Regions from separate parts of the Mus musculus genome. Here region 2 is reported to be linked to region 1. Evidence: microRNA targets listed by miRTarBase, many of them from high-throughput screens and not tested one by one. Region 1 holds a microRNA gene; the other region holds the end of a gene's coding sequence.

Region 1 (5,000 bases):
TCACCATATCATTCTCCACTGAACTACACAGCCACTAACCATTAGTGAAACAAGAAAGAAAGGTGTACAGGCTATTCGATGTACTTAGGCCTTATTTCCTGAGGAATAAGGTATTTAGGTATTTAGAGTAAACTTAAGAGTTATCAGTGTTACCATGGACTCTACAAGTAGTTTATCAGAAAGGTACAAATTCTGACTGGAGTTGCTTTGTTTTCCATACTATTTTGAAAACATTTCACATGGGGTTCATAAATATTACCTTGACTTGTTTCCTGCCCGGTAGAGGCTCTCCGCTCACAATCTTCACAATCACTCCAGTCACAAACTGTGGGCCTTGTGCACTGACCTTCTCCTGGGTGGAACACTCTTGACCACTGCCTGCTGCTGTGAAGAGGAAGGAGCCAGAGGTAACCTTCCCACTCCTGACATTTCACATGAGGAGCACTATTCTACAACAGCAGCAGCAGCAGCAGCAGCGACTTCTCAGGCTAGTTTAAGGATCTCAGAATTGTAAATAATATTAAGGAATCACACTGCCCATTGGAATCAACATGGCACAAAAGGCATTATACCTCTAAACCAAAGAATAAAGCCTTAATAAAGATGTATGCCTATATGAACATAAGACTATTCAAAGTATTCTATTCTTTTTTTTTTTTTTTTTTGGTTTTTCGGGACAGGGTTTCTCTGTATAGCCCTGGCTGTCCTGGAACTCACTTTGTAGACCAGGCTGGCCTTGAACTCAGAAATCCGCCTGCCTCTGTCTCCCCAGTGCTGGGATCAAAGGCATGAGCCACCACTGCCTGGCTTCAACAATTTCATTTTTTAAAAAATTTGTTTATTTATTTTATTTATGAGGACGCTGCAGCTGTCTTCAGACACTCCAGGATAGGGTATCAGATCCCACCATGTGGTTGCTAGGACTTGAACTCAGGACCTCTGGAAGAGCAGTCAGTGTGCTTAACCACTGAGCCATTTCTCCAGCCACAAAGTATACTGTTCAAATATGAGAATTTGTATAATTTGCAAGAACTTAAAACCTTTACTAATATTACAATGAACGAGAGTAGTGCTCTAATATGCTCCTGCTTGCTGAACATCATCCACTAAGCCTGCAGTCTTTATTTCTCTCTCCAGGCACTCACAAGTGAGCTCGCAGGTAAGTAGAGAAGAATAAACAGACTATTAAAACCTAGTGTGTAATACAAAACTTCACATTTTTACTTTTCTTAAAACATTTTGTTTTTGGAAATGGTTCAGCTTAAAACTGAGGAAGCCACTCTATCACTGCAATAAAACTGCCCCTGAAACCATTCATAGACTAAAGCCCACTCTTCCATTACATGAGCGTCACCCTCTCCGTTCCCCACTGCACACTTACTAGGCGCTTTACAGTCTGTTTCCATTTCTGATTCCAATTTGATTTGAGATATTGTTTTTTTTAGAGAAGCCATGCTAGCTTTTTGCAGTGCCAAATACTCTTTCTTCAAATCCATCCATTCAGTCCTGAAAAACAAAAATTGAGCCATTACAGTGATAAGACGACCCAACTAGAAATCTGAAGTTGATCTAAACACAATGTTCATAGGAACTGCAAGTCTTTCTGACTTTTCTTTCTTTTAAGGCATATGTTTACATTATTTGTTAAGCCATTTGTTAAAGCTACCTAGCAAACACACAAAGGAAGTTTCTTTGTCTTAACAGGCAAGGAAAATGCTTGAGTTTCCTGGTTGCTTCTAATATTTAATTGTAAAATCACTTTTGAGTCACTTCTATTAAGTAAAATCACTAAATCAGGCAACCTGGAGAAAAAGTAAGAGACTAAAACTTAAAGATTTCTCAAATTGCTTCCAATTTGAGAGCTAACATTCCTTAGGATTTACTTGAATCAAAAGGAATTTCTAAGAAGAAAAAAACACCCCATGGAAGCAATTTATTTATTTACATACATTTAACATGTAGATGTATCTTCAAACAGCTAGGGCTCCTCCAGAGAAGCACAATGCATCTCCTGGCTCTGTGGGAGCGCTCATTGTTACCCTAATCTGTGCCATCAAACGGGCAGATAGGAGATTTTTTTTAAAGAGGAGGATATCTTGTGGTAATGGTTTTAGCAGTTAACATTGACATCTGTTTACTTCAAAAAAGGAAAAAAAAAAAAAAAATCCAGACCTACCCAGGTCCCCAGGACCTACTTTCCCCAGAGCTGATACATTAAAATAACAAAGGGTCTTGTAATGATTCTCAGAGATAGAAAGCCAAAAGGAACTCAGGAGTTAGGAGTAGTATAAATACAAGTGGTCTAAAGTCGGCGTCTTTCACCCTCCGAGGACAGAACAGGACTCTTTGGGAGGCGGTCACGAAGGTAAAGGAGGTAAAGCTTATGTCTGTAACCGGGTCACTTTACTTTCCTGTGGGTTTGCTCTTCTGTTTTAACTAGTTGCCTTGTGGGTGGGTTCCCTTCAACTTTAACATGGGAATGCTTTCTGTCTCATCGAAGAGTAAGTGCTTCCATGTTTTAGTAGAAGTGAATTCAAGAAACTCTGGAATAAGAAAGCTAGCCTTTTAATTCAGAGTCTGATGGGAGTCCCCTCTGCTTTAACATGGGGTTACCTGCTGTGTTAAACAAAAGCAAGTGCTTCCATGTTTCAGTGGGGGTGTCTTAAACTGTTCAACATTTTCTCTAAGATGCTGTAGGTTAAGGGAGTTATTGACTGGGCTTCCCACCACTTAAACGTGGTTGTACTTGCTTTAGACCTAAGAAAGTAAGTGCTTCCATGTTTTGGTGATGGTATGTTTTCCTTTATATTCATGCCTTTGTAAAGACCACTCAAGTCTGCTTAAGGGGCCTCCTTTACTTTAACATGGAGGCACTTGCTGTGCATTTAAAAATAAGTGCTTCCATGTTTGAGTGTGGTGGCTCCTACTTAATCTTCATTGTGCTGCATATAGATAGACCAAGGCCGTCACTGTTGCTAACATGCAACTCTGTTGAATAGAAATTGGAATTGCACTTTAGCAATGGTGATGGACCTGTGTCAGTGGCCACTTACTTGGACAGCACTCTCAATGGTATAACCTCCTCGCCCATCTTATGTCTCTCCTTGTGTTTCTTCTTATGCTTCCTCTTCACCTTTGAGAGTGAGTCACCTTTTCTGTCTGTCTCCTTCTCCTCCTCAGTAGAGCAGAATTCTAAGTCTAGAAAAAAGATTTCCGTAAGTCCGTTGTTGTGGTTAAACTGGTTAAAACATTTGTAACCCTACTGCCACGGTACCTCTGCTCTCCTTGGAGACCTCGGAAGCTGCTTGGCCGACGCCATCCTTCTGAGCCCTTTTCTTAGCTTTTGGCCTTGGGGGGAGGCAGTCTTCGTCCTCGGCGCTGCACCTCTCCCTCTTCCCTGCCCTGGCTTCAGGTAAGCTGGATGCTTCCACCTTGTCCCGCTTCTTCTTTTTCTTTGCAGGTTGCTTTGGAGCTTCCGGGGTTTCTGCTTCGGAGCCCTCAGAGGCCGTCCTTGGTCTCTTCGTGGCTTTACACACGCCCGAGCTGCTGCTGTCCACGGCCGACTCTTTGGCCTGCACACTCTCTTCCTTCTTTATTCTGCCTTTTTTCTTTTTCTTCTTTTTCTTCTCTTCTGTAACAAGATTTTATTATTTACAGTCATAATAGTTTATTGTTTACTTGGCCACTCTAAGTAAGCACTCACCTGCTACTCGTAAGGAAGGGATGGGCTTGTTTTTCACTGTCTTGGGAAATATACCAGGCTTTCTAGGTGCTTCTTCTGGTGGGTTGTTCAGAAACTGAAAAGATTGATTGCAGAATTTGTTACTCTTGTTAACCCTGTGCTTTTTCTTTACTTTTCAGGGTCCCACAGAAGTACGTACCTCAATGGCTTTTGCTGCTTGCTCTTTTGTTTCAAATTCCACAAAGGCAAATCCCTTAGGATCCCCAGTAGACTTGTAATGTGGAATACTTATGTAAACCACATTGCCACATTTCCCAAATACTCTCTCAATCCAGCTATGAGTAACATTTTTGGGGAGCAACTCCTGTAATAAATCATGGTATGAACATTTTAAAGTTCCTACATTTTTACCAATAAATGAATTATAAATAAATGAACTAGAATTAAAATTTGTGTCATTTCTTACCACATATACCGTGCGTTCCTCCTCGTCCTTTGGTCTCTCACCTAGGGGTTTTTTCCTCCTGATTCTGGTCCCTTCTAAGTCCAACTTTATGAGGGGGGAAAAAAAAAGGAAAGCTAAATAAAGTCAGTAGTTAATTGGATGTGGGTGACTTGAAATGTAAGTTTTTTACCTCTACAACAGATGAGCTTTTCAATGCTCTGGCTATTAGCTTCCCATCAGTTGTCAGCTTCTTCATTTTGTTAAAAGACACCAGGAGAGAAATGTCCACATCTAGTAAATAGGATAGTGGGATGTTAAACACTGGAATATATACATGTGTGCAAACAAGCACGAGTTCAACATGCAGTTGTGTGTCATGAACATATACAGTACTGAGCTCTCAGGAGGCTCTGGCCCCATATAAATGTGAGTTGGAAATTCCAACAAAGACAAAAAACTTACATCCATCTCTAGACTTTTCAATTTGCTCTCGCAGAAACTTGTCCTTGTGAAGGTTTGCATCTCCAAACCAGAAGTCCACCTGCTTAGCAATATCTGCAAGCACCTGTTTAACCCGGGAGCGCTTCTTTTTTTCTTCTTTTCTCTTAGTGCTTTCTTCCATAGTTTTTTGGTTTTCAGTTTCCATTCTGAGAGGGGAAAAAACAAAAATGCCAAACTGTAAAGTGCCTAAATGCCCCTGTCACCTGAACCTTCCTGCTGCAGGAATTCCTGCTGCAGGACGCCATCTCACTGACATCAGTAAGGATGTTTTTAAAGCTGGTCTGTCAGGCAAGTGCAAATTCTGTAGTAAATTCAAGTAGTAAAACCTCTACCTCAAAAGATGGCCTAGTCAGCCACCACTGGAAAGAGAGG
Region 2 (5,088 bases), not on the chromosome of region 1:
TTGGGAGGAGCTCAACTTTGAAACTACTGAGACACGGGACCAGAAATGATTAAGAACTATGGAGTTATGCTAAACTAGGAGTGAATAGCTGTAAAAGGAGGTGTTTATGAGAAAATAAGGAGGCGGATCTAAAAGTATTTCAAATTTGATAAAATGTAGGGATGAGAAAAAGGCATCAACTCAGAGAAGAGAAGTTCAGTGACAAAGTAGCTCACACAGGCTCTGCTCCAAACACGCCAATAAAAATATGGACACAATCACTAGTTCCAGTCTCTGAAAGGCCCAAGTATATCTGTTAAGAATCAGAGGACACTGAAGATTACAGGTAGGGAACAGTGCTTTTGTTCAAAACCAATGCCATTTTGCCAATTCCTGCTAAATCCAGACCTCATTTATTAGCTCATCATCAAAACAAACAGTGCAGAATAACTTCTTTTTAAAATGTCAGACTTATGGCTTAATACATCTTTATTATGTTGTGTTCTGCCTATAGGCCTGCAAGCCAGAATAGGGTACCAGATCCTATTACAGATGGTTGTGAGTCACCATGTGGTTGCTGGGAATTGAACTCAGGACCTCTAGGAAGAGAAGTCAGTGCTCTCAACCTCTGAGCCAACTCTCTAGGCCCGGTTTAACAGATTCAGATTCAAACAAAACTGCAGGGGTTTCACACAGAGGGCTTTGATTAAAATGTGCACTCAAATACAAAAATCAGCAAATGTTGTTATCTTTCCCCTGCATTGGGGTCTTGACAGAACTTTACAGTAGCAAACAGGCTATACACAAGACAGATTATTTTCTGGCTACACCAGAAAAGACCCAGTATTAATCTTGTATTGAGCAACCCAATGACTATGTGCATATGCGACAGGTTCAGGCCAGTCAGAAGTGTCTGAGACCAAAGGGTCTGTCTGATTTTACTGGGTACAGAATAAAATTCTTCAGAAATTAGCTCTTTACAAGTAGAAAATGGATGTCCTTCCATGGATTTATTGCCAGAGCAAGATATTACACAACGTTTAAATGTAACTTGAATACAAGGACAGTGTATCAGAAACCTAGTTCTTGGGGCTGCAGATGGCCCAGCGCTTATTGCTTGTCCAGAGGACACGAGTCCAGCTATTATTAACCACGCCAGAGGGCTCACAACCTCCTACAAGTTCTGTTTCTGCAGATCCAATGCCCGCTTTGGCCTCCGCAGGAGCTGCACCCACGTGCACAAACATATAACTAAACATGTCTCTGAGCACCAAAAAGGGGAAAAAAAAACCCCAAAACTAAACCTAGCTCTCTTGATGAACGCAAATGAACGCGCACATTTATTGAAACACAAAACGCTACCTCACCTTAAACTTTTTGAGACACAGTGTCTTTTTTTTTTTTAAGCCTAGGCTGGTCTGGAACTCGCGGTAATTCTCCTGCCTAAGCTTCCTGAATATTGGCCCCATAGATCACAGCCAATCACGTCCGACTCCAATCGATCATTTTAAGCCCACGAGTCTCCGGTTCCTCACAACCATGCACCTCGACCGCTGCCCTGGTCCCCAACCAGGTTGCCTTTGGCTGCCCGCCTAGGAGAGCCCCAGCTTTGGGAAGACAGAGGCACCGGCACTGCAGTAACCATGCCGACCGGACCTTAGCGCCACTTCCGGCTCCCGCGACCGTCGGGACCAGCGGCGGCAGCCCGAGCGAGACAGAAGTCTCGATAGGGCCGACTCTACTCACTTCTTCAGCTCGGGAGGGTGGGCTTTGCTCATGGCGACTCCTCTGCGGGCTCGGCACAACGGCGAAGGAGTGAGCAGGCTCAGAAACGCGCGCAAGGCAGGCTTGGCGCTGGTGTCTGACGTCACCGCCGCGCGAGCCAATCGCCTTCGGAGAACATTACCTTTCATCTCGCGATATTGATGGGGATGTCTGAACCTGCGGACCAGAGCCACGCTTCCGGTTGCGTCGCCAGTGACAGGCCACGACGGAGAGGCTGTGTTCGGCTAAGCTTCCTTTGTGTAAAATTGAAGTGGCAGGTCACTTTAAAAACAGACCCCTTCATTTATATTTTATGTATGAGTGCTCTACATGTACACCTGCGCGCCAGGGGAGGACCTCAGATCCTACTATAGATGCTTGTGAGCCACCATGTGGGTGCTGGAATTGAACTCCAGAGCTCTGGGAGAACAGCCAGTGGTTTTAACTGCTGAAGCGTCTCTCCAGCCTGTGTGTCACTTCTTTTCTTTCCTTTTCCCACTTACTACACTTTTTTTCTCTTTACATTTTTGTCATTTCCCCTGCCCCTTCCTCATTGTTTTTGACGTAATTCATGCTGGCTTCGAGTTCACTGTGTAGTCAACGCTGGCTTTGAACTGTTGCTTCCCGTGCTAGAATCAACGGCATCTGCACCACGCTGCCCTTAATTTCCTAAGCACATCCAGGCGAAGCCGAGGGCTCCTGAAGCACAGAATAGCTTGTCCGCATCAGTAGCAGGAAGGTGGCTAGGCGGATTCTCTTGAGGACGTGAATCCAGTGTCTGGGGTATTTCTGATTCATCAATTCTGCAATTCTAACGCTGCCTTCAGAACCCACTTAGCACACTACAGTCCATACATAAAAGCTGAGGAGTACCACACAAGTCCTGAGGTATTGAGCTTGCCCCTGCCTCCTGAGGGCTGGGAATAAAGGTGTGCACTCTCCCAGGGTGGTGGCACTGCCCTCAGTGCACTGGGCTCTCTCATGGTAGTCATTAATGACCCACAGACATGTCCAGAGACCTGTTAGATGGAAGCAGCTCTTCAATTGAGGTTCTCCTCATGATTAGTTTGTCATCAACAAAAAAATAGCACAAGAATGCTTAGCTATACACTCTCCCCACCACTTGCTGTGCTAGTTGAAACTAGAAAACGAACATGAATAATGATAGTCTTTAGCAAAGACTGACCTCAAAGCAGGAGGGAAATCCTCAGCTTGCCTTACAGTACTGAAATTACAGTATGCACCTTTTACAATTTAGTTATAATATGTAAGTACACTGTAGCTGTCTTCAGACACTCCAGAAGAGGGCGCCAGATCTCATTAGGATGGTTGTGAGCCACCATGTGGTTGCTGGGATTTGAACTCAGGACCTTCGGAAGAGTTTTCTTAACTGCTGAGCCATCTTTTCAGCCCCCCCCCCCATGTACCTTTAATCCTAAGTTATCTTTTCAACATTAACAGCTTTCAAGTTATGATGCTCTCTGCCTTCCTCTTGGTGTTTCCCATTTACTGATATATCACTACCCATAAGAAAAAGGTGGAGACAATGAAACTTTATTTAAAAACCAAACCACTTGGAAAATATATTGCAGGCTTGACACAGCAAAAAGACAGATGTATCACTGTTTCAAGTAATTAATTGGTATAAATACAACATAGTACTTATCCAAAAGATAAGGTGCTATGTTGGGCCAGCAACACTGCACTGCAAAGAAAATAAAAAATAAAAACCACCCAGGCAAAAATGGCATTTGGCAAGAAAGTGTGTGCCTCTCTTGTTCTACAGTGGTCCTACCCATCTGTGGCCCAAGTTGCTCAGTTTCTGGCTTTCTTGTTGCTATAAGGCTCTGTAGATTCAGAGCTGATTAATACTGGGTTTGCACTTCTCAATAATTCCTAGTTACTGCTTATTCTTAGCGACTGGCATGTGAGTGACAGCCTACCCCCTTGCTTTTCATAAGGATGTGTCACTTTGCTGCACAAGTCAGTAAAGAAGGCTGTTTCCCATGTTCACTGTGTGACACTGTCCGGATTCTTCAGGGGCTTCTAGAGTAACAGAATTTGAAGAAATGGACATTCCCATCTTGACGGTACATAATACTAGGAACCTTTAGAAGTGACTCAAACCACTTTCCCTCCTGTATCATAAATCCAGTGTGCCCTGCATATAAGACAAAACTAAGCAAAATATAGATTTGAAAAGGAAATCCTTTCCTCTGAATTCCTAGCCTACTGGGTTTTGTTTCCCAGCATATGCAAGGTGGTGTGATGATACTTCTGGTCAACAGGATTTGTCAAGCTTCTCTGAGGAGATGCACCGATCCTCAGATTTTACCAGCAGGTTGAAGAGAGCTGCCAGCCTGGATGTTTGTAGTAAGAAGCTCAGCTCTTGGTACAAGGTTGATCTCTACTACAGTACAGACACTTGCATATGAATATTTAGGATCTAGACTTCTCCTCTGAGCTATCTGTGATCCAAATCTTAGCACCAGCTTCTTCCTACTTCACCTTCTAAGATCCGAATGTAAAGGGACTAGTGTCCAGCAGTGAGCAGCATTTGCCTGGAACTTGCTGTGTCTAAGTTTTCCTCATTCGTAAACGTTGCTTAACATATTAAACTTCCATTCTTCCTTTTAAATAGCCTGCCCGCAGTCCCGATGGTCACTGGCAAACAATTTTATTTCCCTATGGATGACAGAGACTCCTTCATCTTCTTGGTCATTGTTGGGATGAGGTGCATGTGGTCATCCACACACTTGGTCACACAGCTGTCTAGCTGTCGCTTCACCTGAAGCTCCTTAGTTCCTGCATCCATTGAGTCTTTGGCTTTGTCATTGCAATGCATGGTGCAGCGGGCCAGGCGGTCCTGTGATGAGAAGAGAGAGAAGGCTGAGAGGCTGGCTTCTGTTGTCTGAGTATTGGTCCCATGCCAGGCCTTGGGCTACAGGCTCGATACAGATCGTCTCTGCCAGTACTAAGTCTAACACTCTCTTGGTTCAAACAGAAGGTGCCACTGGGAAGGCTCAGACTAAGCACTGAGCAGAGGAATGGAAAAAATGAGCTTTATACAAGATGCTGGCAGCAATCAAATGACTACTGTTGGGCTTATAAATACCTCAATTCCTTTCCCACTCTTTCATCTTTCATGTGTGTGGGGGCTGTGGATTTTTAGACGTTTATTTGTGGATGTGGAGGCCTGAGGTACATGTTAGGAACCATCCTCCCTTGCTCTCCCAGATATTCACAGAGGCAGGGCTCTCAACCAATCAGCTAGACTTGCTTGCCGGCCAGCTGTAGAGATTCTGTCTCTGTCTTCTAGGGCTAGATTTACAGGTGGGCTGCCAC

Evidence for each region. Region 1 holds the annotated microRNA mmu-miR-367-3p (AAUUGCACUUUAGCAAUGGUGA, at 3,007-3,028, shown strand). A microRNA usually pairs through its seed, bases 2 to 8, with sites in the 3' UTR of a target mRNA and lowers its output. Matches are read on the target gene's strand: a 7mer-m8 pairs with bases 2 to 8, a 7mer-A1 pairs with bases 2 to 7 and ends in A, and an 8mer does both.
Region 2: the mRNA of Fam136a is a reported target of mmu-miR-367-3p. Seed matches in the 3' UTR shown: 7mer-A1 at 3,328-3,334.

The regions. Positions count from the first base shown.
Region 1 is chr3:127,542,773-127,547,772 of GRCm38, forward strand. It overlaps Mir367 (microRNA 367), which reads left to right and starts at 2,961; the gene lies at 2,961-3,035. It overlaps Larp7 (La ribonucleoprotein domain family, member 7), which reads right to left. Exons shown (of 13, transcript NM_138593.2): 2 at 4,590-4,774; 3 at 4,318-4,418; 4 at 4,149-4,232; 5 at 3,882-4,046; 6 at 3,704-3,797; 7 at 3,275-3,631; 8 at 3,054-3,198; 9 at 1,382-1,506; 10 at 260-384. The coding sequence starts at 4,773. Gm51018 (predicted gene, 51018) reads left to right here and starts at 2,317. Exons shown (of 2, transcript NR_146435.1): 1 at 2,317-2,374; 2 at 3,862-4,131. Mir302b (microRNA 302b) reads left to right here and starts at 2,456; the gene lies at 2,456-2,529. It also overlaps Mir302c, Mir302a and Mir302d.
Region 2 is chr6:86,368,252-86,373,339 of GRCm38, reverse strand. It overlaps Fam136a (family with sequence similarity 136, member A), which reads right to left. Exons shown (of 3, transcript NM_025591.3): 3 at 3,282-4,609. The coding sequence ends at 4,421. Snrpg (small nuclear ribonucleoprotein polypeptide G) reads right to left here and starts at 1,800. Exons shown (of 4, transcript NM_026506.2): 1 at 1,726-1,800. The coding sequence starts at 1,757.